Linked DNA regions of Saccharomyces cerevisiae S288C. The protein of the gene in region 1 interacts with the protein of each later gene in a biochemical or structural test. Each region holds a gene or a part of one and is shown on either strand. Other genes may lie near its edges.

Region 1 (8,386 bases):
AAAGAAAAGATAAGGAAAAATGAAAAAAAAAGCGTATAGGTGCTAAGAAGAATTAAGTATCAAAAGGTAGCAGGCATTTATGTTATATATGCAACTTCGGATTTCGTTCAATACATCTTGACCGGTCTCCACTGTTACTGGCATATTTCTCGGGTTTTTCCTTTTCACCACAAGGGAAAAAAAATGCGTTATGTAATTTCACCAATATTTTTCCCGTCCTGCGTGCTCGCACAATACAATAGGGTCATGTCACGTAATAAGCAACGTGCGCCGCATTTTTTGCCCTTTAAAGGGAAACGCGCTTTGTTCTTTTCTTCTTCCTTTTCACATAAGGGAGAGTCGGCTACCAATGTCGATGGAATTCTCACCATTGGGCATCTCACCGTTCCTATCCTTCTGGAACCTATCGTAAATCCCCCTTAATTTGACCAACTCACTTGTTGAAATACTAGGTTTTGTCTCTTGACAGGCTTCCAATAAATCGTTTATTGTGACCACAGCTGTCAGCTCAGAAGCAGCTGAAGTGCTTGTCTTTGTCTCGTGCACCACATCTTGCTGCAATAGAGTCTTTAGCCGTAGTCTATTTTCTTCTCTACGCCCGTGCTCATTGATACTGAAGTATTCTATATTATCATTGCCGGGTACCACTTCCGATTGGTCTGCAGCAGACAGCCACCTATGTACAGATTTCAAATAAGCATTGTAGCAGAGCCCCTGTAAATCAGCACCCGAAAAACCAGCTGTCTTTTCAGCGATCAACTTCAAGTCTGCATTTTTCTCCAATGCAAATTTTTTTTGTCCCGTATCCTTGTCTTTTGAATTGACGATAGCTTGCAAGATATCTAACCTCTCTGATTCAGTCGGTATATTACAGATCACACTTTTGTCTAATCTTCCCGGTCTTAACAATGCGCTATCAATCAAATCAGGTCTACTTGTAGCTGCTAGTATATATACACCATCAAGGCCCTCGGCACCATCCATTTGGGTCAATAATTGATTGACTACACGGTCTGTGACACCAGTGGAGTCATGCCCTCTCTTTGGCGCAATAGAATCGAACTCGTCAAAAAATAGAATACAGGGTTTGACGGACTGTGCCCTTTCAAACAATTCTCTTATGTTTTGTTCGCTGGCACCTATAAACTTGTTTAAAATCTCTGGTCCCTTAACGGAGATAAAGTTTAACCCACATTGTTGTGCCACGGCGCTCGCCAGAAGCGTTTTACCACAACCAGGATAACCGTAAAGCAAGATTCCTGATCTCAATCTTAGGGGACAATTAACGAAAATAGGCTCATATTTTGTGGGCCACTCTAAGGTTTCTAGAAGGACATCTTTGGCATTTGCTAAAGCACCAATATCCCCCCATTTGATGTTCGTTTCTTTTGTTAGCTTTACTCCACGCAACGCAGATGGTGTAAACGCACTAAGCGACTTCGAAAAAAGTTCCCTTGTTACAACATTATCACAATCTCTTTCCAACTGCAAGTCGTAGAAAATCTTTTCTGTGAATATTTCCAAATCTAGTGGCGAAAATCCTTCTGTCTCCAACGACAAATCACTGAATTGCAAATCTCGATTTAGTTTCATGATCTGGTTTTTCGAGAAAAAATACTCCAGTAACTTCGCTCTTGCATGTTTGTCAGGTGCTCTCAAAGACCACGTCTCTGAAACAAAATGCTTATCAAACAATAGCGGATTAATTTGAGTTTTCTGCTTGCCTGAAAATAAAACTCTGATTCGTTTATTATCCTTGTTAAATATCTTTGTCACCTGATTGATGAAAAAATTCAAAAGTTTGCTTGCATTATCCCATTGGCCATTATTAGAAGGATCTCCGTCATTGGCTTGAGGTTTTCCAAATAGAGCCTCAACGTTATCCAACACAATCAAAGAAGGACCATACCAATAACAAAAAGAACACCATTCCATAATTAATTTTTGGGTTTTATCTAAATTTGATGTCTCGTGCAATGTTTCACAATCCGCATATTTAACGAAGATGTGATGATCTTTTTCCACTTCATTTATAAGCTCTTTTAATAACCTTGTTTTACCGATCCCTTGCTTACCATCTAATATAATAGCTGGTGTGGCAATAATAGGCGATGTCAAATAATTGACCATTTCTTTCTTGATACTATTTACCGTAATGAAATCATCTTCATCTTTACTAGTGCGCGAAACTTCGCCAGTTTCTTTGACGTGGTAATGTTTAGGCAAATGCCTTTCGATAATATCTTTAACTTCTTCTTTACCCATTTGGGTTACTTTCCATTGAACGGATTCATTGGAAATTTCATTCAAATTACACAACTGCTGCTCGGATTCACCTTTTTTTATTTCGATTATAATTTGCTCTGTTGGAAGTATTAAGTTATTGGTCAATAAGCTCCCGCCCAACAACTTAGAATACTGATCCCCACTCTTGGTAGGAACGTCCTTGCCAAAATATTTGATATTGACTGTTGCATTTCTTCCGGATATTATATTTGCTTGATTCATTTGTAGAAACTCTAGTTTGATTTTTGCTCCGTTCATTGGGTGCGTAAAGAATGCATCCCAAAGATGAGAGCTTAATGCAATGTGATTTTCGGGTATCTGACTATCACATTTTATAAAAACCCCAATCTTCTTCGAAGGGATACCAACTGATTTATTATCTGAATCGCTTTTCTTGGACTGCCTTAAGCTACATTTTACGATAGAAGCGTAGCCCTTCTGAGAAGGCAATTGTGCCCCGTCACTGATATATACGACAAAAAGGTTATCTTTAGGGAAGTCCATTTTGCACACAGTACTCCTCAATATTACCTTCTTTAAAAGTTGGATAGCCCCATTTTTTAGTATTGTCTTATTACTATGACCATACTCAGCCTTCACCAAACGTGTTTTATTGACTTTTGGTGCCACAACAACCAAGGAACCATCTGTGATCCTCGCAGACTTCATTGATGGCTCCACCCTGTCAATTTTGAACTTTGTAACAATTCCTTCCAAATAACAAATCAAAGTCTCACCTGGGGTAACTATACGGGTTTGGTGCAAAATCTCACCATTTTGGAACCTCATCGCATTGGCATCGATAATTTCCCAATCATCACTCGTTTCTGGCGTGACATACACCTCCGTAGCCAGGTGTGTGTGGTCATATCGCTGGATGTATAAGTCCACCAATGGAGACTTTTGATTTAAATCATATACTGTGGCCAAAACAGGATTGATAAGAACAACATTCTCACTCGATCCAGAATCATGGCCATCCCATCCAAGATGAACAATAGGTATATCTGAATTATGAGAATGGACTGCTATACCGAATTCCTGGATAGCGTAGTTGGTTGACTCTAACACGTTTATAATTGAATGCGGTAACCTTAAAAAGTTTCCTACTATGGCATTGGAGAATTGGATTCTCAGATTCTCAAACTTCAACCTCTTGGTCGTCGTCATTTGAAAGAGCAGTTCCTCAGGTGTTTCTTGTTACTGCCGTCCCTTCCAGAAGAAATTCGACGATGACAATAGTCGGAGAGATATTCCGGACCTTTATAATTGCGGCTACGCACAAGAATAAATCGCGATAGTAATCGGATATAAGACAATAAAGTCCAGCTAACTTGGTTGGAGAATTCGACAGATTACCATGAATATAGAAATCGATGTTTTTTTTTGTCCACGCCGATTGATCAGCCATTTTTTTTTATCAGGGTCGCAACTGCCCTGTGCAAATAAGAAAGCCTGAAATGGTTGCACAAAGACCACAAACAAGGGCATACGCCAGTACAGTATTATGGACTCATGCCATCGAGGTTACATAGAATTAGTTTAAACAAAAACCAACTATCCTCTAATATCCATGGTACGAGTATATATAATTGTATGAAGTGTAAGAATATGATATAAATAATGAGAGCACTCATAGAGAGTAACGGCGCTGAATTGTAAGAACTGTCACGTAGTAACACAATCACTGAAAGCATATAAAGTGAAATGAGAAACGGTAGTAATATCATATGCATTACCAATTCCTTTTAGTGAATTTCCATGTGCCCGAGGGGGGACTTCCAGTATATTCTGTTACATTTAAGTAAATACTTCATCAACAAATAGGGCCCAGCGGTTTCTTACACTAATTATACATTTACAACGTAAATGCTCCAGCTCAAGCATTATTTATATATCTTGTTTTCAAAAGAAAAATATAGCAATTAGACTCCATGGCCAAGTTGGTTAAGGCGTGCGACTGTTAATCGCAAGATCGTGAGTTCAACCCTCACTGGGGTCGCTTATTTTTAACTTTTTTACACTGAAGAAACAAATCAATTCTAATACAATGCCAATGGCTTCAAATCAACCTTTGGTTATAATAGTTAGGAGAATCGATGCTTACATAGTATATTATTTAAACAATTAATTTGATTTAAAAGATTTTTGTTTCCCTTGCTGCTGTCATTGGCTTTCTAAATTACATAAAGCAGATGAAAAGCCACACTATGCTGAAAATAGTGTGTGGATGCATCTACATGATGATGCAACACGAATTGGATTTTTTAGCTTGCTTATAAAACATTTTGGAACTTGCCGTTAATGACTCCGATTTGTCCACCAAATTATCCAACTTTTCACCTCTTTGTAAAACATTCTCAATCGTTTTGTGCAAAACGATTTTCGTCTCATCCAGTTCTTGTTGAACTTTCATGATAGCGTCAGCCTGTGAAGGATCTTGATATTTGCTAATGTAAGTGTCCAGTTGCTTCATTTTCAATGCATCATTGGTCTCAGTCACATCTGCCCACTCTTCCTTAGGATGTGCGACTAAATATTCATCCAATATTTTGTTTAATAGTGTGTATGCTGGTCTGACAGGATATTCTTTGTCGGTGATCAAAACACCACATATGCCCTCACTCCTGGCATAAACGTGGCCAATATAGTTGCCTTCTTCTATACTTTGTCTTTGTCCTGCACCAGTTCTAGAAGCGACCGTTTCAGCAAAAAAAGTCATAAACTGGCCAACACTAGACCTTTCAAAGAAACCAAATTGTGACAAGTCTTTAACTTCACTCAACTCTAGAGCCTTTTCTCCTCCAGAGCGAAATACACCGATGTAGTAGATTCTCATTGCCAAAATAACTTCTCTAGTGATACGTAAAGCTTCAGAAATGCCCTAGCCTGGTCTAACGCAGTCAAACTGTGCCAGAGACTTTTGTATATTGTTCATGTTGATATCTATTGTGCTTGCTCTTGATTTCACACCAAGCCAATCGTTCTGTACGGCACGCCACCCAATAAGAAAAAAAGGGAAAAGGAGCCGAATTTTGGTTTAAAAACATATAATGCTGAAATTGTGGAACACCAATTACCAACTGGAAGTAGGCTCGATCCAAAGAGTGTATATTATCAGTAAAATGCTTCGCAACTTAGTCGTCAGGAATGCGTGCAGAAACAGGCCGTCAATTCAAGTGGCAAGGGGGTTATGCCGACACCAAACAAGACGTCTCATGGCGTCCTCCCCTCAGTTCGGTAGGAACTCCAATCAGGAAAAAACAGCGGGCTTTATAATGGGGATTCTTTCTATGGCTGGTGCTTTATATTTTATTGCTCCTAATAGGAAGCCTCTTTTCGCCTCAAGGAAGGTAGAATCCGATAAAACCGCAGAGGAAGAGCTTTCCAGTGGTGGTGAGCAATCACCAGAAAATGAAGATGACAACAACAGCAAAAGCGATGAAAATGGAGATGACAACGACAGCAAAAACGATGAAACTGAAGCTGGCCCTCAATTAGGGGGTGATAAAATTGGTGCTTCAAAAGTAGCTGAAGATGGTGAATTGGTTGTTCTAGCAGAAGAAGACAACAAGTCTTCCGAAGATAAAGATACTGATGAATCAAAGGTATCAACCAAAGATGATGAGCAATCCAATGAAGACAATGCCACCGCTAACAATCAAAAGGATGAAAACATAAGTTCTGAGAACTCGGAAGAAAATACTAGTGACAAAACACTAGACAACAATGCTGGATCTTCTGAAAAAAAAGATCCAGAACATTCAGATGATGAAAAATCGCAACAGGGACAATCTGATGACAAGACAACTACTGAAGATAATAATGGAGAAGAAGAATCCTCAAAAAAAACTGTAAGTGACTCGGAAAATTCAGCTAAGCAATCTGAATCTAGCGATGAAGAGAAAGAAGAACTAAGAAAACAAGAGGAAAAGCAAATGGGTCCTACTGAAGAAGAGGTTCAACACGAAGGTGCTTATAACCCAGACACTGGTGAGATAAATTGGGACTGTCCTTGCTTGGGAGGTATGGCCCATGGACCCTGTGGTGAAGAGTTCAAATCTGCATTTTCTTGCTTCGTCTATTCTGAAGCTGAACCAAAAGGTATCGACTGTGTTGAAAAGTTTCAACATATGCAAGACTGTTTCAGAAAATACCCCGAGCATTATGCAGAACAACTAAAGGAAACATCTGATGATGAGGAACCTCAAGACAAAGTAAAGGTCAACACAATAGAATCAGCGCCAAATGTTTCAAGCGCAAAGGAAAATGCTGCGAAAAAAGCAGAGCAATCAGATGTGAAAAAAGAACCATTGAATGAGGAATCCAAACCTTAAAATCTCCTGAAAATCTCCCGAACGTAAAAAGTATAAAAGTATAAAGGATGATACATGTAAATACAGTAATATTATCTTAGTTTAATGACTACATATGGTATAATATGTGAAATATACATGAATTAATGCATCTGTGGGGCGGATGAGTCTAGTCTCTGTATGAATCCAGCTATACATCAAATCGTATCCTTTTATTTACAGGGCAAGTTTGTCATATATTTTAAGTTACTTGTAGTTTTTTTCCAGCTCAATAAATTTTTCCCAAATTTGAGACATTGTAAGTTTCTCGAAACTCTTTCTATTATCACGTTCTCGAATGTTGTATTTCTGTAACTGTACTTCCTCATCACCCACGATAATTAAATAGGAATAGTTTTTCAAAATGGCCGACTTGATCCTATACCCTACGGGTTCGTTTCTTATGTCGAGATCAACATTGAAATGCCAATCATTTAAAGGAACTGGTTCCATGTCGTCGGCTTCCAGTTCATTACGTAGTTTTTTCTGCAAGGCAGTGCACATGTCTAGCTGTTGCACATTTTTCGTATTGACGGGAATAATTACAGCTTGGTAAGGATTCAACCAAAACGGCCAACGGCCCTCATTAGAATCTATCAGTAAAGCCATAAATCTTTCGATAGAACCAAAAGTAGCTCTATGAATCATAATTGGCCTCTTGTACGAGTTGTCTTGATCCTTGAATTTCAAATCGAACCTCTCAGGTAGCTGAAAGTCCAACTGAATAGTAGCGACTTGATGAGTTTTGCGTAAATGGTCCGTAACCATTATATCCAACTTTGGACCATAGAACGCACCATCACCAGGGTTCAGTTTCCACGGTTTGCCTGATTCTTCCAAGATTTCCTTGAGTACTTGCTCAGCATGATTCCAAACTTTGAGGTCTCCAATGAAGTGATCCGGTCTTGTAGAAAAGTTTATAAAATAATTGCTCTCTGCTCCAGAACCTCCTTTAACAAAGGGGAAAATTTTGTTGTAAACTATGTCGATTAATTTTAAAGAGTTGAAAATTTCTGATTTCACTTGGGAAGGAGTGCAAAAGATATGACCATCGTCTTGATGGAACTTCCTTAGTCTAGTCAATCCCGACAGTGCACCAGAAGCTTCATTTCTATGTAGTGGTGAAAAATCAGAGAAGCGTAGGGGAAGTTCGTTATACGATCTATCCTTTTTACCGAAGATCAGACAATGGCCTGGGCAATTCATCGGTTTTAAACCGTATTCCTCCTTTTCTTCATCCGTAGTTTCCACCTTAAACATGTCATCAGCATAATTTTCCCAGTGACCAGACTTTTCCCAAAGAGTCTTTTTGTAAATCAAAGGCGTCACAACTTCATTAAAACCAAATTTGAACTTTTGTTGTAACTTCATAAACTCTATCAATTTGTTGAAAATCTTAGCACCATTTGGAAGAAAGAACATGGATCCAGGAGATAGTGGATCTGTCATGAAAAGATCTTGCCTCTGAGATACCATGGATGTCATAGTAGCTGGAGTCGCCGACGAAGCGTTCTTAGTGGCCTTTCTCGTAGAGTAGAAAGCACGATTCCAAAGAGCATTGCGAGAACAATGCCATCTTACAAGTTGTATTTTCATATTGCGAGACAGAAGGACGTGCCCTTAGCTATTGCATATGTTTTTCTTTATGTAGTTCAGCAGCTCTTCTTTTTTTCATGCTCGAGGTTTTTAAGGGCGAACTTTAACTAGATGGATTATTCAGTTTTTTTTAAAAGGATCAAAATCCT
Region 2 (8,379 bases), on another chromosome or scaffold:
TGTCTCTTGAACATACTCCATAATTTGTTCACCTTCCATCTCATATATTACATATAAGGCCACACACAGACACAAGCTGAAACGAAAATATCTATAAATATACACTTCTTAATTTGTATTCAAGATATTCTTATCAAAGCACTTATTTTTTCATTATATTTCTATATTGATTTAAGGACGGTACGCTATTTTCTTTGTACCTTTTACTATGCATAAAAAAAGGGGAAGTGTTTAACAATCGACACTTACTTAATATGTTTTGCCGCCCTTCATAAGAGGGTGTTTCTAAAATTTATTGGGCAAGAATGAGATGGACTCGCACCCTACATGACGTTTAAATATTTAGTGTTAAGGTTCAGAACATGCACCAGGTGCGACATGTGTTGCGATTATCATGACAATGTCTCTATCCGAGATGCATTTGTAGTATCAATTGATGCGTATTATGACATGATTTACATAGCATACATCGTCAAACATGATATTATATTCTTTTTTTGATAAATGTACGGATTTAAAGCTGTCGAATATATTTTCTGAAATTTCTTGGAGCTGACGCAAAATTTTCAAAGGTGCTAAAATTTTTCAAGATTTCTCACTTTTGCTTGGTAACAAAGAATGATGGCATTGCATTTTTACCACCGGTACATTTAACTGCTATTTCTCACGTTTCTTTCCCTATCCTTAAGTAATTCTTTTACAATCTAAGAAAACCACGATCAAACAAATAAATCAGCAATGGGTGCCTACAAATATTTGGAAGAATTGCAAAGAAAGAAGCAATCTGATGTTTTGAGATTCTTGCAAAGAGTCAGAGTCTGGGAATACAGACAAAAGAATGTCATTCACAGAGCCGCTAGACCAACTAGACCAGACAAGGCTAGAAGATTGGGTTACAAAGCTAAGCAAGGTTTCGTTATCTACCGTGTCAGAGTTAGACGTGGTAACAGAAAGAGACCTGTTCCAAAGGGTGCTACTTACGGTAAGCCAACTAACCAAGGTGTCAATGAATTGAAATACCAAAGATCCTTGAGAGCTACCGCTGAAGAAAGAGTTGGTCGTCGTGCCGCTAACTTGAGAGTCTTGAACTCCTACTGGGTTAACCAAGATTCTACTTACAAGTACTTCGAAGTTATCTTGGTCGACCCTCAACACAAGGCTATCAGAAGAGATGCTCGTTACAACTGGATCTGTGACCCAGTTCACAAGCACCGTGAAGCTAGAGGTTTGACTGCCACTGGTAAGAAATCCAGAGGTATCAACAAGGGTCACAAATTCAACAACACCAAGGCTGGTAGAAGAAAGACCTGGAAGAGACAAAACACTTTGTCCTTGTGGAGATACAGAAAATAAGCTGGTTGATGGAAAATATAATTTTATTGGGCAAACTTTTGTTTATCTGATGTGTTTTATACTATTATCTTTTTAATTAATGATTCTATATACAAACCTGTATATTTTTTCTTTAACCAATTTTTTTTTTTATAGACCTAGAGCTGTACTTTTATTCTGCTATCAAGCAAACCCCTACCCCCTCTTCTCAATCCTCCCCTCAGGCAGAACTTATCTACCTGTATCAAGGAGCGGACGAGGGAGTCCTAATTGTTCTACGTATACCAATGCTAGCAGCTTACATAGGTGGTGGCACTACCATAATACTTATATATAATATCTTTACGCTCAAGTAAATTTCTCCGCCGCATAAATTAACACCATGTTCTTTTTAGTCGCACCTTATTTTCTTGTATTTTTTTTCTTTCCTTTTCTTCCCGTTTTTCCTTATTAGAGCCATTAGATAAAACTCAAGAAAAGCAAAAGAGAGGGCTATTTCCACTTTAAGAATAAGCCTTAATAATTGGCAAATAGATCGTCCTTTTTTCCAGTTTTCAGCATTTGTGTTTTTTTCTTGCTCTTTTTAGCGATTAGATAACATTCAAGATCTAATCAATACCCCATTCCAAACAAAGAATCCAAATATACCATAAATAGGGACAAAAAACAAAAGAGCTAAAAATGGGCAAATATACCAAGACTGCGATCTTGTCAGTTTATGATAAGACAGGTTTATTAGACTTAGCCAAGGGATTGGTAGAGAACAATGTTCGTATCCTAGCATCCGGTGGTACGGCCAACATGGTCAGAGAAGCTGGTTTTCCGGTCGACGATGTTTCTTCAATTACGCATGCACCAGAAATGCTAGGGGGTAGAGTCAAGACTCTTCACCCTGCTGTGCATGCAGGTATTCTTGCCAGAAATTTAGAGGGCGATGAAAAAGATTTAAAAGAGCAGCACATTGATAAGGTGGATTTTGTTGTATGTAATCTATATCCGTTCAAAGAAACTGTGGCTAAAATTGGTGTTACAGTTCAAGAAGCTGTAGAGGAGATCGACATTGGCGGTGTGACTTTGTTGAGAGCAGCCGCAAAGAACCATTCCAGAGTGACTATTCTTTCAGACCCTAATGACTATTCTATCTTTCTGCAAGACCTGTCTAAGGACGGTGAAATTTCTCAGGATTTAAGAAATAGATTTGCACTTAAGGCGTTTGAACATACGGCCGATTATGATGCGGCCATTTCTGACTTTTTCAGGAAACAGTACTCCGAAGGGAAAGCCCAATTACCGCTAAGATATGGTTGTAATCCCCACCAAAGACCTGCACAAGCTTATATCACTCAGCAGGAGGAGTTGCCCTTCAAAGTGCTCTGCGGTACACCAGGATATATAAATCTTTTGGATGCCTTGAACTCATGGCCCTTAGTGAAAGAGTTATCTGCATCATTGAACTTGCCTGCGGCAGCATCGTTCAAGCACGTTTCTCCAGCAGGTGCTGCTGTGGGACTTCCATTATCCGATGTGGAAAGACAAGTTTATTTTGTGAATGATATGGAGGATTTATCACCATTGGCATGCGCATACGCTAGGGCCCGTGGTGCAGATAGGATGTCATCCTTTGGTGATTTCATTGCATTGTCCAATATTGTAGATGTCGCCACTGCAAAAATCATCTCTAAAGAAGTTTCCGATGGTGTTATTGCTCCAGGGTATGAACCAGAGGCATTGAATATACTATCTAAGAAGAAAAACGGAAAATACTGTATTTTACAAATCGATCCAAACTATGTTCCTGGCCAAATGGAATCCCGAGAGGTTTTTGGCGTAACGTTACAACAAAAGAGAAACGATGCGATCATAAACCAATCCACTTTCAAAGAAATTGTCTCCAAAAACAAAGCACTTACCGAGCAAGCCGTTATCGATCTAACTGTTGCTACGCTGGTTTTAAAATACACACAATCAAATTCTGTTTGCTACGCAAAGAATGGTATGGTTGTGGGGCTTGGGGCCGGCCAACAATCGCGTATACACTGTACCAGATTAGCTGGTGACAAGACGGACAACTGGTGGTTGAGACAACATCCAAAGGTTTTGAACATGAAGTGGGCCAAGGGAATTAAGAGAGCGGACAAGTCGAATGCGATTGATCTTTTTGTTACAGGGCAAAGAATAGAAGGCCCGGAAAAGGTGGATTACGAAAGCAAATTTGAAGAAGTCCCTGAACCTTTCACCAAAGAAGAAAGACTAGAATGGTTAAGCAAATTAAACAATGTATCGTTATCATCCGATGCGTTCTTTCCCTTCCCAGACAACGTTTATAGAGCTGTGCAGTCTGGTGTAAAGTTCATCACGGCTCCTTCGGGGTCTGTCATGGACAAAGTTGTCTTCCAAGCGGCGGATTCATTTGATATCGTCTACGTGGAGAACCCAATTCGTTTATTCCACCACTAAGTAGGGTACATTTTATGAGAAGAACAGAAACAACATATATAGCTGAATACAAGTGTATATACGTAAACGTATACGATTTACTTAATTTTCTACGTCAAAGGCCTTCCTCTTCTGCGAGAGGACAAGATGTGAATATGTGAATTATAGAGATGTCTGCAGTATGGTTTTACCCAAATGATCATGGACCAACTAGGGTCATTTCATAGTGTTTAGGAATATACTGCGGTAGGACGAACAACAAAGATGACCGAACTCAGATTTTCCCACTCTGCACCCACATCCCGCAATCTCTTCGTAATAAGGAGAAAGCTGGCCATAGGACAAAGTATAGGAAAAGAGCTCAAGATCATGCGTCCTACTTAATCTAAGTTAAACTCGTCAACGGGGCCACTTCTGTCTCATCCATATATATCATGGCAACAGCCCCCGAACCCCATATACACATCGTTAAGGCAACAGCACCCGATGCAACGACTAAGAGAAACTGCTCGTAGTCTGACGACTCAAAACTCTGATCACGAAGATCAGAGGAGAAGTCAGGAGCTGCATCTCTTATGTGATGCCGTTGTCCGAAGCGCCATCTAGATGAATACGTGAGGCCCATTGGAGGCTCCTTGAGACTCTGCCTCTCGAGCGTTGAAAAACGCTAGCCCAGTGTTTTAGAGAAGCTAAGCAGCAATAGCAAGAAATGCACACACACGTATGCGAGTGACTTCCCTTCCCTGTATAGTACCGAACTAGCACGAGACTATGGTTACTTTTTTTTTTACAAATAAGCAAAGAGAAACTTGAATGGGAAAAGAAGTTTACCATAGAAGTTAAATGCACGACGATGAGAGTTTCAAAGTGTTTATATAGGCGAGAGAATCTAAAGGAAAATTTTTCTTGAAATAAAAAAGCACTGTCAGGGTAACAATGTTAATAATAGCCGCTGATGGTTTAGGGTTACTACGCTAGAAGGACATAAAATCATTATTTACAAGAAACATACAAGGAGGCAATTTTTTAAACTCTCAATGTAGGATATTTCATTTAACTGCACTAGTGGCATCTATTATACACAATTACTCCAGTAGCTGCCACAAAGCACCCAAAGATAAGAATAATTACGGAAAATGAAATTTTTACTTTGAATATGATGATATGGGCATTGCAGGTTTGTAGTAAGAGCAATTTACAGGAATTCCTGACGGAATATTAATGTTTTCTTACTGTTTAATGCGATGTACATATTGTCAATACTAATGGTCACCACTGGAAATGGCTATCTTTCGTCTTCGTGAATAACGATCGCCGAGAGTCGGACCGAGTGAGTCAGCGTGATCGGCCTCATTTACCTTGTCGCCTTGCACGTCGGTATATAAACGTATGTGGATACTTTAAGAAGGGAAAGCGCAACCGTCCAAATTCTAATGAACAAAAGAACACAGGAATACAAGAACACAAGAGCGATAATGTCTGCCACTCTGTTCAATAACATCGAATTGCTGCCCCCTGATGCCCTTTTTGGTATTAAGCAAAGGTACGGGCAAGATCAACGTGCTACCAAGGTCGACTTGGGTATCGGGGCCTACAGAGACGACAACGGTAAACCATGGGTCTTGCCAAGTGTTAAAGCCGCCGAAAAGCTAATTCATAACGACAGCTCCTACAACCATGAATACCTCGGTATTACCGGTCTGCCAAGTTTGACATCTAACGCCGCCAAGATCATCTTCGGTACGCAATCCGATGCCTTTCAGGAAGACAGAGTAATCTCAGTACAATCACTGTCTGGTACGGGTGCTCTTCATATATCTGCGAAGTTTTTTTCAAAATTCTTCCCAGATAAACTGGTCTATTTGTCTAAGCCTACTTGGGCCAACCACATGGCCATTTTTGAGAATCAAGGCTTGAAAACGGCGACTTACCCTTACTGGGCCAACGAAACTAAGTCTTTGGACCTAAACGGCTTTCTAAATGCTATTCAAAAAGCTCCAGAGGGCTCCATTTTCGTTCTGCACTCTTGCGCCCATAACCCAACTGGTCTGGACCCTACTAGTGAACAATGGGTTCAAATCGTTGATGCTATCGCCTCAAAGAACCACATCGCCTTATTTGACACCGCCTACCAAGGGTTTGCCACTGGAGATTTGGACAAGGATGCCTATGCTGTGCGTCTAGGTGTGGAGAAGCTTTCAACGGTCTCTCCCGTCTTTGTCTGTCAGTCCTTTGCCAAGAACGCCGGTATGTACGGTGAGCGTGTAGGTTGTTTCCATCTAGCACTTACAAAACAAGCTCAAAACAAAACTATAAAGCCTGCTGTTACATCTCAATTGGCCAAAATCATTCGTAGTGAAGTGTCCAACCCACCCGCCTACGGCGCTAAGATTGTCGCTAAACTGTTGGAAACGCCAGAATTAACGGAACAGTGGCACAAGGATATGGTTACCATGTCCTCCAGAATTACGAAAATGAGGCACGCATTAAGAGACCATTTAGTCAAGTTGGGCACTCCTGGCAACTGGGATCATATAGTAAATCAATGCGGGATGTTCTCCTTTACAGGATTGACTCCTCAAATGGTTAAACGACTTGAAGAAACCCACGCAGTTTACTTGGTTGCCTCAGGTAGAGCTTCTATTGCTGGATTGAATCAAGGAAACGTGGAATACGTGGCTAAAGCCATTGATGAAGTGGTGCGCTTCTATACTATTGAAGCTAAATTGTAATGATTAAATAATACTTATACTTACCTATTACACTCTTCATATTTTTTTTAATGTAAAGAAAGTAAAAAAAAAAAAAAATAAAAAAAAGAGAAATGCTCTTTCTTTACCTTCACAGGTGTATTATTATGTTGTTGTAATATCCGGGTAGGTTTATTGATCGAGGCGAGGCGAAAGGGCATATTCGAAACAATCATTATGATAATAATGTCAATATAGAAATTGAAAAAAAAAAAAAAATCCTACCGCCGCATCGACGCTCCTGTTAGACCTTTGAACGGAAATCACCCACTCTTTACTGTATATATTTTATTCCACCTCTGTTTCCAACGACCATTTCACCATACCACACAACTCCCATGAACATAAAGGATAGAACTTCAGAATTTCAACAAAGTGTGTTGAGTTACAAGAAAAGAAACAAAAACTTTAGAGAACAGCAGAGGGAACGTCTACAAGAGAAAGAAAGTGAAAACTTTGCCAACAACACAACCGGCAATGGGAAAAGTGTCTCTGAGTTTCAAAAAAAGGCTTCTGGCATAGCTCACGAAATTTCATCCACCGCACAATTATTATCGAAATTAGCAGTGCTGGCCAAAAGGAAACCGATGTTCAATGACAACCCTGTAGAGATTGCCGAGCTATCATTTTTGATCAAAAGGAAGATTTATGCCATCGAACAAAGTTTAGTGCAATTAAGTCAGCTCAAGAAAACCGACGTGAATGGCAACACATCAAATCAATCTTCTAAGCAACCTAGTGCCGTACAGCACTCCAAAAATGTCGTAAATCTTTTAAACACGCAAATGAAAAACATATCAGGAAGTTTTAAAGACGTATTGGAGGAAAGGCAACGACTAGAAATGGCTAACAAAGACAGATGGCAAAAACTAACCACCGACACTGGACATGCACCAGCTGATGACCAAACGCAAAGCAATCACGCCGCGGACTTGACCACGTATAACAACTCCAACCCATTCATGACCTCACTACTAGATGAATCCTCAGAAAAGAATAACAACTCGTCCAACCAAGGAGAACTGTCTTTCCCTCAAAACGACTCTCAACTAATGTTAATGGAAGAGGGACAGTTATCCAATAACGTCTACTTACAAGAAAGAAATAGGGCGGTGGAGACAATAGAATCCACAATCCAGGAAGTGGGAAATCTCTTCCAACAACTGGCCTCCATGGTTCAAGAACAGGGCGAAGTAATCCAAAGGATTGATGCAAACGTAGACGACATCGATTTAAACATTAGTGGTGCTCAAAGGGAACTTTTGAAATACTTCGACAGGATAAAGAGTAATAGATGGTTAGCCGCAAAGGTTTTTTTTATAATCTTTGTATTTTTCGTTATTTGGGTTTTAGTCAATTAAAAGCAAAGTAAAAGAAAAAAAGATACATATTTGATTATTTATTTTTTTTCCTTCTCTCATCTTTTCTGTACAATAATATAGCAATAACAGATAAAAATAATGAATGCACATTCCCTTCTATACCTATGAACGCAAAAAAAAAAGACAACAAAAAAATAAAAACTATTAATTATGACTTAGCATTATGAACTTCATGTATATAAAAGAGCGTATACAGAACATGGAAAGTAAGAACACCTTTTTTTTTTCTTTCATCTAAACCGCATAGAACACGTTCAAAGCCCCATTTCTGCTTGTAGTTCTCTTAATGCTTTTTCATCTTCATCTTCTTCATCCTCTTCCTCTTCCCCGTCCTTCACAGAGTTCTCACTTTGTTTAATTTTATTACTTGGAACACTAGGTAGTGAGACTTTGTTCTCTGAGATAGGCGCCGCATTAACATTATTATTAACGATCTTGGACGTTTCTTGGTTAGCATTTTCTTGAGCCAGCATGTCCAA
Region 3 (3,130 bases), on another chromosome or scaffold:
TTGAACAGAATGCATCTGGATGAGGTCGTTCCTACATCAATACTGGCGATAAGCGGGACGTAGTCACTTCGTAAATCTTCCATTATTTTGGACATACGGCTCTGTTCTTGTTTTAAACTAGTGTAAAGGCGCTGGCTTGATCGGAATATGTAACGTTTGGAGAATACTACAAGTCGGAAGAGAGAGGGAAACATATAACTATTTGTATAGTTCCGGCCACAACTCAAACCACATGGTATATTTTATATGGTTCGAGAACAGGCATCCCCCCACATTTTATTACACCTTATCCGTTCTAAAAGTCTTGGCTGTCTTTTTTTCCTTTCCTTTTCCTTTTTTTTTTTTCAATTTTTTTGTCAATGCAGTCAGCCCCTCACTATGCTACTCCACACCCTTTAATTGATGGTTTTACTCCAATTAGAAGAGAAGAATTACGAAATGGCCTGTATGGGTAGATTCTTGTTATGTTTTTACATACGTTGTTTAATAAAAGTCGTTATTTACCATGTGAAAAACAAAAACAGTATACAAAGGGTGGTTATCGTGGCCAATACAAACGCGTTTTTCTTCCTTCTCGTGTTAATCTTCATAATAAGCTGATTGACACCTGGTATTCTTTGTAAAGTTTGCAACACCTTGTTGTTTGCCGTGTTCAGCACGTTGCTCTGCGAGTGGAACTGCGACCGAGTCTCCCAGGCTTGGGAGATGAGACGGTCGACTACGTTGTTGGACTGATCGATTCGCCTTGTTTCGTTCTGAATGTACTCGTCAGCATCCCCTATAGGAGCTGGCGCGTCCGTTGTGGAATTAGCAATATCGTTCTTCACGCTGAATAACAAGTTTAGTCTGTTGCGCTCTTGCTGGATGGAGGACCTGATATTGCGGAAGCTCTTCCAGTGGTCTTGTAAGATCTCCTTGTGGCGGTGCAGTTGGGAAAGCTTTGAGGCGGAGATTGCCGGGTTAGAATCGCAGATTTGTGTTAATGAATCGATTACATCCTGTCTCTGGCCTAAGATTCCCTCCAACTGCTTGTCTATCTTCTTTTCTTGGCCAGTTTGTTCTGAACTAGTTGTCTGCGCGAATGTGGAGTACTTGGAAAGAAGTGACTCCGTTTGTGTTTCTAGAGAAATGGCCTTGCCCCTTATGGTGACGAAAGACGGTTGTGAGCTCATGTGGTGTGGTTGCTTGTCTGGAATTGGGCTTTTCCCTGTGTCTAGTTAGTTTATTTTTTCCTTGTCTTTTTATCTCTTTTTTTTTGTTTTTCGTTCTCTTTATTTTCAACAACGCCTAGAAAATTTGGTTACCAACCACACTATTGAACAAAGATAACTAACTGATTGAACAAGAGTAGGCGTCTTACACTGGGTTTGCAAGTGTCATTGACTTTTGTTGCATTGCTGTGAAATGCACATTCGGAGCAGTTGAAGGTCTCTTGCTGAATGCTCACATATTTTCAAAATATTGTTTTGGCTGCGGAGTTTGTGCCTGATCAGTAACTACCAATCTCGTGAGATTTTTCATAAGCATCTTTGAAAGCTTTTATACTTATTTGATCTTTGTATATATCAGGTTTTACCAGTTTAGCCGCCAGAGTTTTGGTATTTATGTGTTACCCGGTATATCCATATGCCTTTTCTTGGTGGCAAAAAAAAGGTACTTCCTGATATAAAGAAGCTGGTAAGCTCTCGATAACTGATCTCTTTGTCTTTGTGCAGGATTGGATAATACAATAATTATAGAAAAGTTTCTATTTCACCACGAACAACATTATGTCCATTTCTTCTGACGAAGCGAAAGAAAAACAGCTCGTGGAGAAGGCAGAATTGCGCCTGGCTATCGCAGATTCCCCTCAAAAGTTCGAAACTAATCTGCAGACTTTTTTGCCTCCATTATTACTAAAACTCGCCTCTCCACATGCCTCCGTTAGAACAGCAGTATTTTCAGCCTTAAAAAACCTCATTTCTAGGATAAATACGCTGCCCCAGGTTCAGCTTCCTGTGAGGGCGCTTATTGTCCAAGCAAAGGAACCCAATTTAGCCGCTCAACAAGACTCGACCAATGTCCGCCTTTACAGTCTGCTACTGGCGTCTAAAGGCATAGATAGGCTTTCCTTGCAAGATAGACAGCAGTTGCTACCGTTAGTCGTTTCGAACATCTCGTGTCTAACAGGCACAGTAGCCGCCAGAATGTTCCACATCCTTTTGAAGCTTATTTTGGAATGGGTTGCACCCCAGGAGTCTTCACATGAGCAGGAAGAATTTGTTCAGTTCCTTCAACTGGACAACGACGGTTTTTCGTTTTTGATGCGCCAATTTACCAGGTTTTTTCTGCTGGTACCTTCAAAGCAAGTCCAGGTTTCTCAACAGCCCCTGTCGAGAGGTTACACATGTCCGGGCCTATCTCTAACTGATGTGGCATTCTTTACTTATGATGCGGGCGTTACTTTCAACAAAGAACAGCTGAATAAGTTCAAAAAGGCTATTTTTCAATTTGTTTGCCGTGGCATGGCGGCTACCCAAACTATTGAGCAGTCACCTAGGATGATTGAACTGATGGAATTTTTGTGCGTTGTCTCTACGGATTCTACAAATTTATCTGATGATGCGGCTCAGTTCATGAAACGGTTTCCCATGCCTTATGAAAACGAAGAGTTCATCACCTTTCTTCAGACGCTGTACATCGGCAACACAGCAAATGGAAGACCGCCGGTCAAGGCTATCTTGCAAGAAAAAATCCTGTCCATATTAAACAGAAGTCACTTCGCCACCACCAAAGCAGAATGTATTTCGTTGATTTGCTCTATTGGATTGCATTCATCTGAGTATAAACTTAGATCTTTGACTCTTTCTTTTATTCGACACGTAGCAAAATTAAATTACAAAAATTTAAATCCTGCTTCTTCATCACCTTCATCAACAGACTTTTCCACTTGTATTGTTTCCTTGATTAGAAATAATCTTCATGCCGAAGGTTGGCCGAAGTTACAATTGGGGCCTCAGACCCCAGCTTTCAATACAGCCATTCTGCAGAGACAGCTGCAATATGAAACATTGGGTGATATCTTGAAAAGAGATTTTGAGCTTGTAAGTGACTTATCCTATATTGAATTTCTATTCGAGTCCTTGAAAAA
Region 4 (5,594 bases), on another chromosome or scaffold:
TGTAGTTGCTTGATAGTTGTTTGTAATTATAGTCGTACGTGTGGTATAGTATGCCATCATATATACTTATACATACATACATATATATATATATATATATATGTGTGTGCTCGAAATTATTGATTTGCGACTTCGTCGTAGTCATCGTCATCACTGACATCTATGTCACTTAGATCCTCGCTTAACTCATCTACGCTATCATCGCCACTGGAAACACCAGTGCCATCCATATCTTCATCAGAATCACTGTCCTCTTCTTGTAAATCACCGCCGCTATCACTGTCATCGCTATCATTATCTCCGCCAAACATTTGTTGGTACTTTTCCTTTGTAGCATACTTGTCTATATACTCTTTGATTTTTTCCTCATACAGTTTTTTATCTCGTAATTGCAATGTGGCAGCTTCGTTATTCAAGGGATCGCTACCATTAGGCTCCTTTAATAAACCTGGTATCATCCACTCCACTATATTTATCAGATCATATAAAGGCGACCATGTAGAGTTAATTACGTCCAAACATATGGACCCCGATGCGATATCAATGTTAGGATGGAATATCTTGTTAACGAACCCTATGCTTGGCGACTTGTATGGGTAATTATCCGGCAACTCTACATGTAACCTCCAAACCCCATTTTCGTAGGGTGTATCCTTTGGTCCCAAGAACTTTACATGAAACTCTTGCATGCTATCATTGATTAAATCCACTTGATGATCACTCATCAACAGTTTCATAACATCTGTCTCGATCCTTCTTTTAGAGCTACTGTTTCATTAAACGATATCTTTGAAGTTCATTGACATTTTCTTTGTTAGTGATCCTCATTCTATGGCATACTTTCTCAGAAGAGTGATATATAAATATACGTATATATCTTATCAAACATACCTCATCTTTCGTATTACGCTCCTTTCTTCCAATATTCCTTATGAAATACTATTAATATTTTGCTCTTACTTCTAAATTATATTCGAAAACTATCTCGCTTGATAATTACGGATTACACTATTTATCAAATGTGGCAGAACTGGAAATCCTACCTATGCTTTACGTTAGTGATACTTAAGCGCAGATAGCTGTTTCCGGTGCTCACCCTTTTTTTTTTTAATTCCACTGCTCCGGGAGCATTACCCGGTGGACGAAGCTCAACCTACTATTATTAAATAAGAAAACGTAAGAATGTATATTTACGCAGATGTGCACACGAGCATTGAAACAAGGATTAATGTGCCACTGATAGAATTCAGACTGCTGTGTGATTAAGAGGAAAACAAATTATCGTGAAGAATCGTTGATTCGCCTTTATATATTCTTGTATTCTTTAAGAGACATGCATTGCGATAATTTCCCCATGATATTCTTAACCTTATGAAGGGTCAGTCTACTGGAAGGTGCATGAAATATGAGTGAACGTATTTTCATTAGCAGATGAGAGACACCGGGATTAAAAAAACTATGTGAAGAATAGTGTTGATATATGATAAAATTATTGTGGAAATCAATAATTAAGAGGTTTTATAGTGTAGTGGTTATCACTTTCGGTTTTGATCCGAACAACCCCGGTTCGAATCCGGGTAAGACCTATTTTTTTCCCCCGCTCAGCTAACTTGTATTTTTAATAGATCTCCCACCATCAGAGGACGAAGAGAGAACTGTATTATCAATTGTGTTTTATTACAATATATTCTAAAAACGAAGATATAGATGTTATCTAGAATTGGTTTTTGTATGTAGCCCTTCTCTCCCGCTTTCTCACTTTTTGAACATTACCTCACTACAGTTGCCATTCAACAATGTAACGAACATTATCCGTAGGTAAAATTTACGACACTTCAAACTTCTAGAAGGAAATAGGCATATACTACGGAACAAAGACAGCCTCTTATTCGTTTTTAAGTTTTTTCTTCTTTTATTAACAAAAAAAAAAATAAAATAAAAAAAATCAATTGAAATTAGAATAGAGTAGAGTAGGTAGAAGTAATATGATGTAAAAAAAGGAAACAAAGATTAAAAAGATGGAAGAAATGGAGAGAAAGAAAATAAAACTTCTGAGAAGAAAATTTTGATAAAAATTATAATGCCTAGTCCCGCTTTTGAAGAAAATCAATGTAAAAATTGTAAAATCTGTTGAGTAATATTATACAATTCCAAACTTGCATCCTCTACAGGTTGATGTTCAGATCCTGTGTCATTGTTATTACTGTTGTTATCATTCGAGCTTGGATTGTTGTTGCTCCCCGGATTTTTAACATCAATTCCTGATCTTTGTAAACGCTCAAAGGTCACATCTGCCATTTTTCTCACTCCGTTAATGATGTCGTCATCATTTTTAACCAAATCTTCCACTTTATCATTATGACTTTCTAGCAATTGTAAAATTGTCCATAGCGCAATGTGTTCAAAGGTAGCATAGTCACTTTTCAAAAATCTAATCAGAAATCCACGAATGCCTTCATTCGGACGATCCCATGCTTCAATAATTTTTGTATAATTATTCACTCTTGAACATAGATTTGCCAAAGCAGCAGCAGCATTACCAGAAACTTCTTGGTTCTGGGAAAAAGTCATAGGGATTAAAGCATCTAAGATATTTGCTTCCAGTAGATCCAATTTGGAGACATCTGCTAGGGCTAAAATAGCAAAACATGCGGAAATTTCACTTTGAACACTAACAGGTGAATCTAGAGCCAGTTCCTTACATTTTTCGACAGCACCACTTTCGAAGAACTCTTTTCTGTTTTTTTCAGATGATGCAGCCAAATTTCTCAAAGTAGATACGGCGTGACATTGAATTTCTTCTGAATCCTTATAGTCCAACAATCTTACTAATGGTTTTAAGAAACCTGCATCAACAATTAAACCTTCATTTAGAGGGTGAATAGAAATGTTTCTAATGCATGCCACACTAGCCAAAACCAGTGGTATAGAATCACTTTGAATCAACTTTACCAAATGAGGCAACCCACCAGCCCTTACAATTTCTAATTGGTAGCTTGTATCGGACGCTAGGTTTCGTAAAGCCAAAGTAGCTTGACATTTTACCCTTGAAGATGGAGAATCCATCAGACTAACCAATTTGGAAACCAATCTTGGCTCAGTTTGAGCCAACTTCTTGCGATTGGCTTCATCCACTGCTATATTTGATAAAGCAGTAGTACAATAGTACTGAACATCAGGATCGGTGGACGACAGTAAAGATACCAATACAGGCACAGCACCTGCATTAACCAATTCTTTTCTATTTTCCTCAGAATGTGTCATATTTAATAATGCACCTGTAGCATTTCTCTGAACTCTTATATGTTTGGATTTAGCTAGCTTAGTCAATGGAATTAAAGCACCAGAAGTAGCAATCTTATGTTTATTGTCATCCCTTGTGGCTAAATTGGTAATGCATCCAACAGCATTACATTGAACTTCTACATTGTCACCCATCATTTGGTTTATTAATGGCTCTAAGCCTCCCATTTCCACAATTAATAATTTATTTTCATTATTAACGGCCAAATTACCCAAGGCTGCACAAGCGGCCACTTGAATCTGTGGATCTTGGCTTTGTAATAATATTAAGATGGGTTCCAGTACCTCTCTAGAGACCTGACGGACGTATTTTTCAGTAATTTCTGCGAATGCCAGAGCGGCGCTCCTTTGCAAATTTAGATTATCTGAATACACCAAAGTAGTTAGGGCCTTTAGTGGACCACCAGAGTAAAAGTCTAATTGGTCTTTATCCTCCAAATACCCTAGTAATAAAGTCACCGCTTCTCTTTCATTATCGGCAATTGGTGAGACACTGGCCTCGTCTGAAGAATCTTTCAAGCAACTACAACATGAACCCATAGTTGCAAATGTATATATAGTACAGAAGAAAGAACACCCTTATAGTTTGCTCAGTTCCTGTCTTCGTAGGATTGGAAATTGGCTAATTGCTTTTTATAGGGTTGTATAAATATATAATACCTTATTTTAACAACAAAAGGAAAAGTAGGAGATTGAACAGCGAGTCAACAAAAAAAAACAGAAAGCAAAGCAGACTCACACAAAAATTTGATCACAATGACAGCACTATTCTGCCTTGAATTGAGAACTAATATATTTCTAATAATGAATGATTGTATTATTATCAATTACTGGAAAGGGTTCATTTTTTCTTTCCACTCGTATTTTTTTCCTTTTCGTTTTGAGTCCTCCTTAAGGGCTCATTACCCGGGAAAGAGAAATTATTCAGATTTTTCTGTTATACCGTTACCTTATTATATAGATGTTCGCAGTTTTCATATTTGTGAGAGCCAACACATTATTGCATTACCGCTACAGATCCCACTTCCTTACCGTATGCTTATACGTATGTATCCAGTTTAGGCTAAAGTAATTCTTGGTTTACAAATCTAATAGCAGGGACCCGTCAGTGACGAAAAGATCACAGTTTTGGAACTTACGCAAAGAAGTTCTCTGTGAATAGGCGCCCTGTGGTATACCTATATCAATCAAAACAGCATCTTCTAGACTTGGCAAATTTGCAATTAAGTTGTTGATGGCAATCAAAGGCCAGCCAGAACAAATAATTCCTGTTGCTTCAATCCTGTCTGAAAAGAAAATATCTGGCATGCCGGATCCCGCATCAAACCCATTTGGAATATCCAAAGACCACACTTTAGTAGATCCTCGCTGTTTGTTACACCATGATATCATGCTTTTAATTCTGCTTTCAATAACTTCCGACGTCCCCGCCAGATCGCTCAATGTACAGTCATATCCCTGCATGGCATCGATGACTATTTCTACAGGGCTATTTAATGTTTCCATAGCAGATTCCAGCGACGATACACTATTAACAATTTTTCCGCCACACTTCTTGTAAATATCTGTTTGCTTTTTGACCATGGAATCCTGTAGTTCATTTTGAGAACATGTAAATAATGTTATGACACGGATATGCCCCGTTTGGCAAAGATGTCTACCCAACGCCAGAGCTTTCGCACCAGATCTGTTGGAATCTGAGGCTAGTATTACTACTAAAGGTTCCGGATTAGAATTTTGTAAACGTAAACGTGCACGGCCACCTAGTTTCTGCTTTAAGAAGAACGATGCGTTTACAGCAAAATTTTCTAGTAGCCCTGCCGAGTTAATACTGAAAAATTCGGACGTGATGCTCTCCATTTCTAGTAGTTGTACTGGTGTAGCCATAGGAATGTTCTGCTTAGTGTTCTTTGATCTGATGGTTGTTTGTTTATTTGCAGCTGGCAAGGATGTTGAGTTGGATCTTGACTGGCTGATGATCATCTGGCCTAATTTAGCTAGTACCTGATCCTTATCATTTATAACTGTACCTTTCGTTTTATCATTTATGGATGGAGAGTTAGTTGCAGAGTGAATTAAATGTGTAATATTCAAAGACTGAGTTATTGGTAGGTATTTGGGATCATCGATATCATCGACATCGTATTCATGTTCATCATCTTCCAAAACCAGATCATCTTGAGCATCTTGTTGCGGCTGAGATTGGTGTGTGCTTTGCTCATTTCTTGAAGAAATCTTGTTCCATGAATCTTTCTTTGCATCTGGAATAACCAATTCATCATTTTGATAAT

What was found.
Region 2: the proteins of YKT6 (region 1) and SED5 form a complex in vitro, tested with the Saccharomyces cerevisiae proteins (3 studies listed by BioGRID).
Region 3: the proteins of YKT6 (region 1) and GOS1 form a complex in vitro, tested with the Saccharomyces cerevisiae proteins (2 studies listed by BioGRID).
Region 4: the proteins of YKT6 (region 1) and VAC8 form a complex in vitro, tested with the Saccharomyces cerevisiae proteins (2 studies listed by BioGRID).

Annotation. Positions count from the first base shown.
Region 1 is NC_001143.9:70,410-78,795, forward strand, and holds YKT6 (palmitoyltransferase YKT6), read right to left. Parts: upstream 5,126-8,386; coding exon 4,523-5,125; downstream 1-4,522. Other genes in the region: PEX1 (AAA family ATPase peroxin 1), read right to left, coding at 325-3,456; MIA40 (Mia40p), read left to right, coding at 5,412-6,623; threonine--tRNA ligase MST1, read right to left, coding at 6,849-8,237.
Region 2 is NC_001144.5:194,950-203,328, reverse strand, and holds SED5 (t-SNARE syntaxin), read left to right. Parts: upstream 1-6,856; coding exon 6,857-7,879; downstream 7,880-8,379. Other genes in the region: YLR030W (uncharacterized protein), read right to left, coding at 1-39; 60S ribosomal protein eL15 RPL15A, read left to right, coding at 739-1,353; bifunctional phosphoribosylaminoimidazolecarboxamide formyltransferase/IMP cyclohydrolase ADE16, read left to right, coding at 2,014-3,789; aspartate transaminase AAT2, read left to right, coding at 5,244-6,500; ESCRT-III subunit protein SNF7, read right to left, coding at 8,155-8,379. UniProt on the Saccharomyces cerevisiae protein: Required for vesicular transport between the endoplasmic reticulum and the Golgi complex. Acts as a target organelle soluble NSF attachment protein receptor (t-SNARE).
Region 3 is NC_001140.6:38,315-41,444, forward strand, and holds GOS1 (Gos1p), read right to left. Parts: upstream 1,173-3,130; coding exon 501-1,172; downstream 1-500. Other genes in the region: GUT1 (glycerol kinase), read right to left, coding at 1-194; ECM29 (Ecm29p), read left to right, coding at 1,770-3,130. UniProt on the Saccharomyces cerevisiae protein: Involved in transport from the ER to the Golgi apparatus as well as in intra-Golgi transport. It belongs to a super-family of proteins called t-SNAREs or soluble NSF (N-ethylmaleimide-sensitive factor) attachment protein receptor.
Region 4 is NC_001137.3:127,074-132,667, reverse strand, and holds VAC8 (protein anchor VAC8), read right to left. Parts: upstream 3,844-5,594; coding exon 2,107-3,843; downstream 1-2,106. Other genes in the region: E2 ubiquitin-conjugating protein UBC8, read right to left, coding at 117-768, 892-896; YEL014C (uncharacterized protein), read left to right, coding at 4,060-4,365; EDC3 (Edc3p), read right to left, coding at 4,384-5,594. UniProt on the Saccharomyces cerevisiae protein: Functions in both vacuole inheritance and protein targeting from the cytoplasm to vacuole (cvt). Involved in the formation of nucleus-vacuole junctions (NVJs) during piecemeal microautophagy of the nucleus (PMN).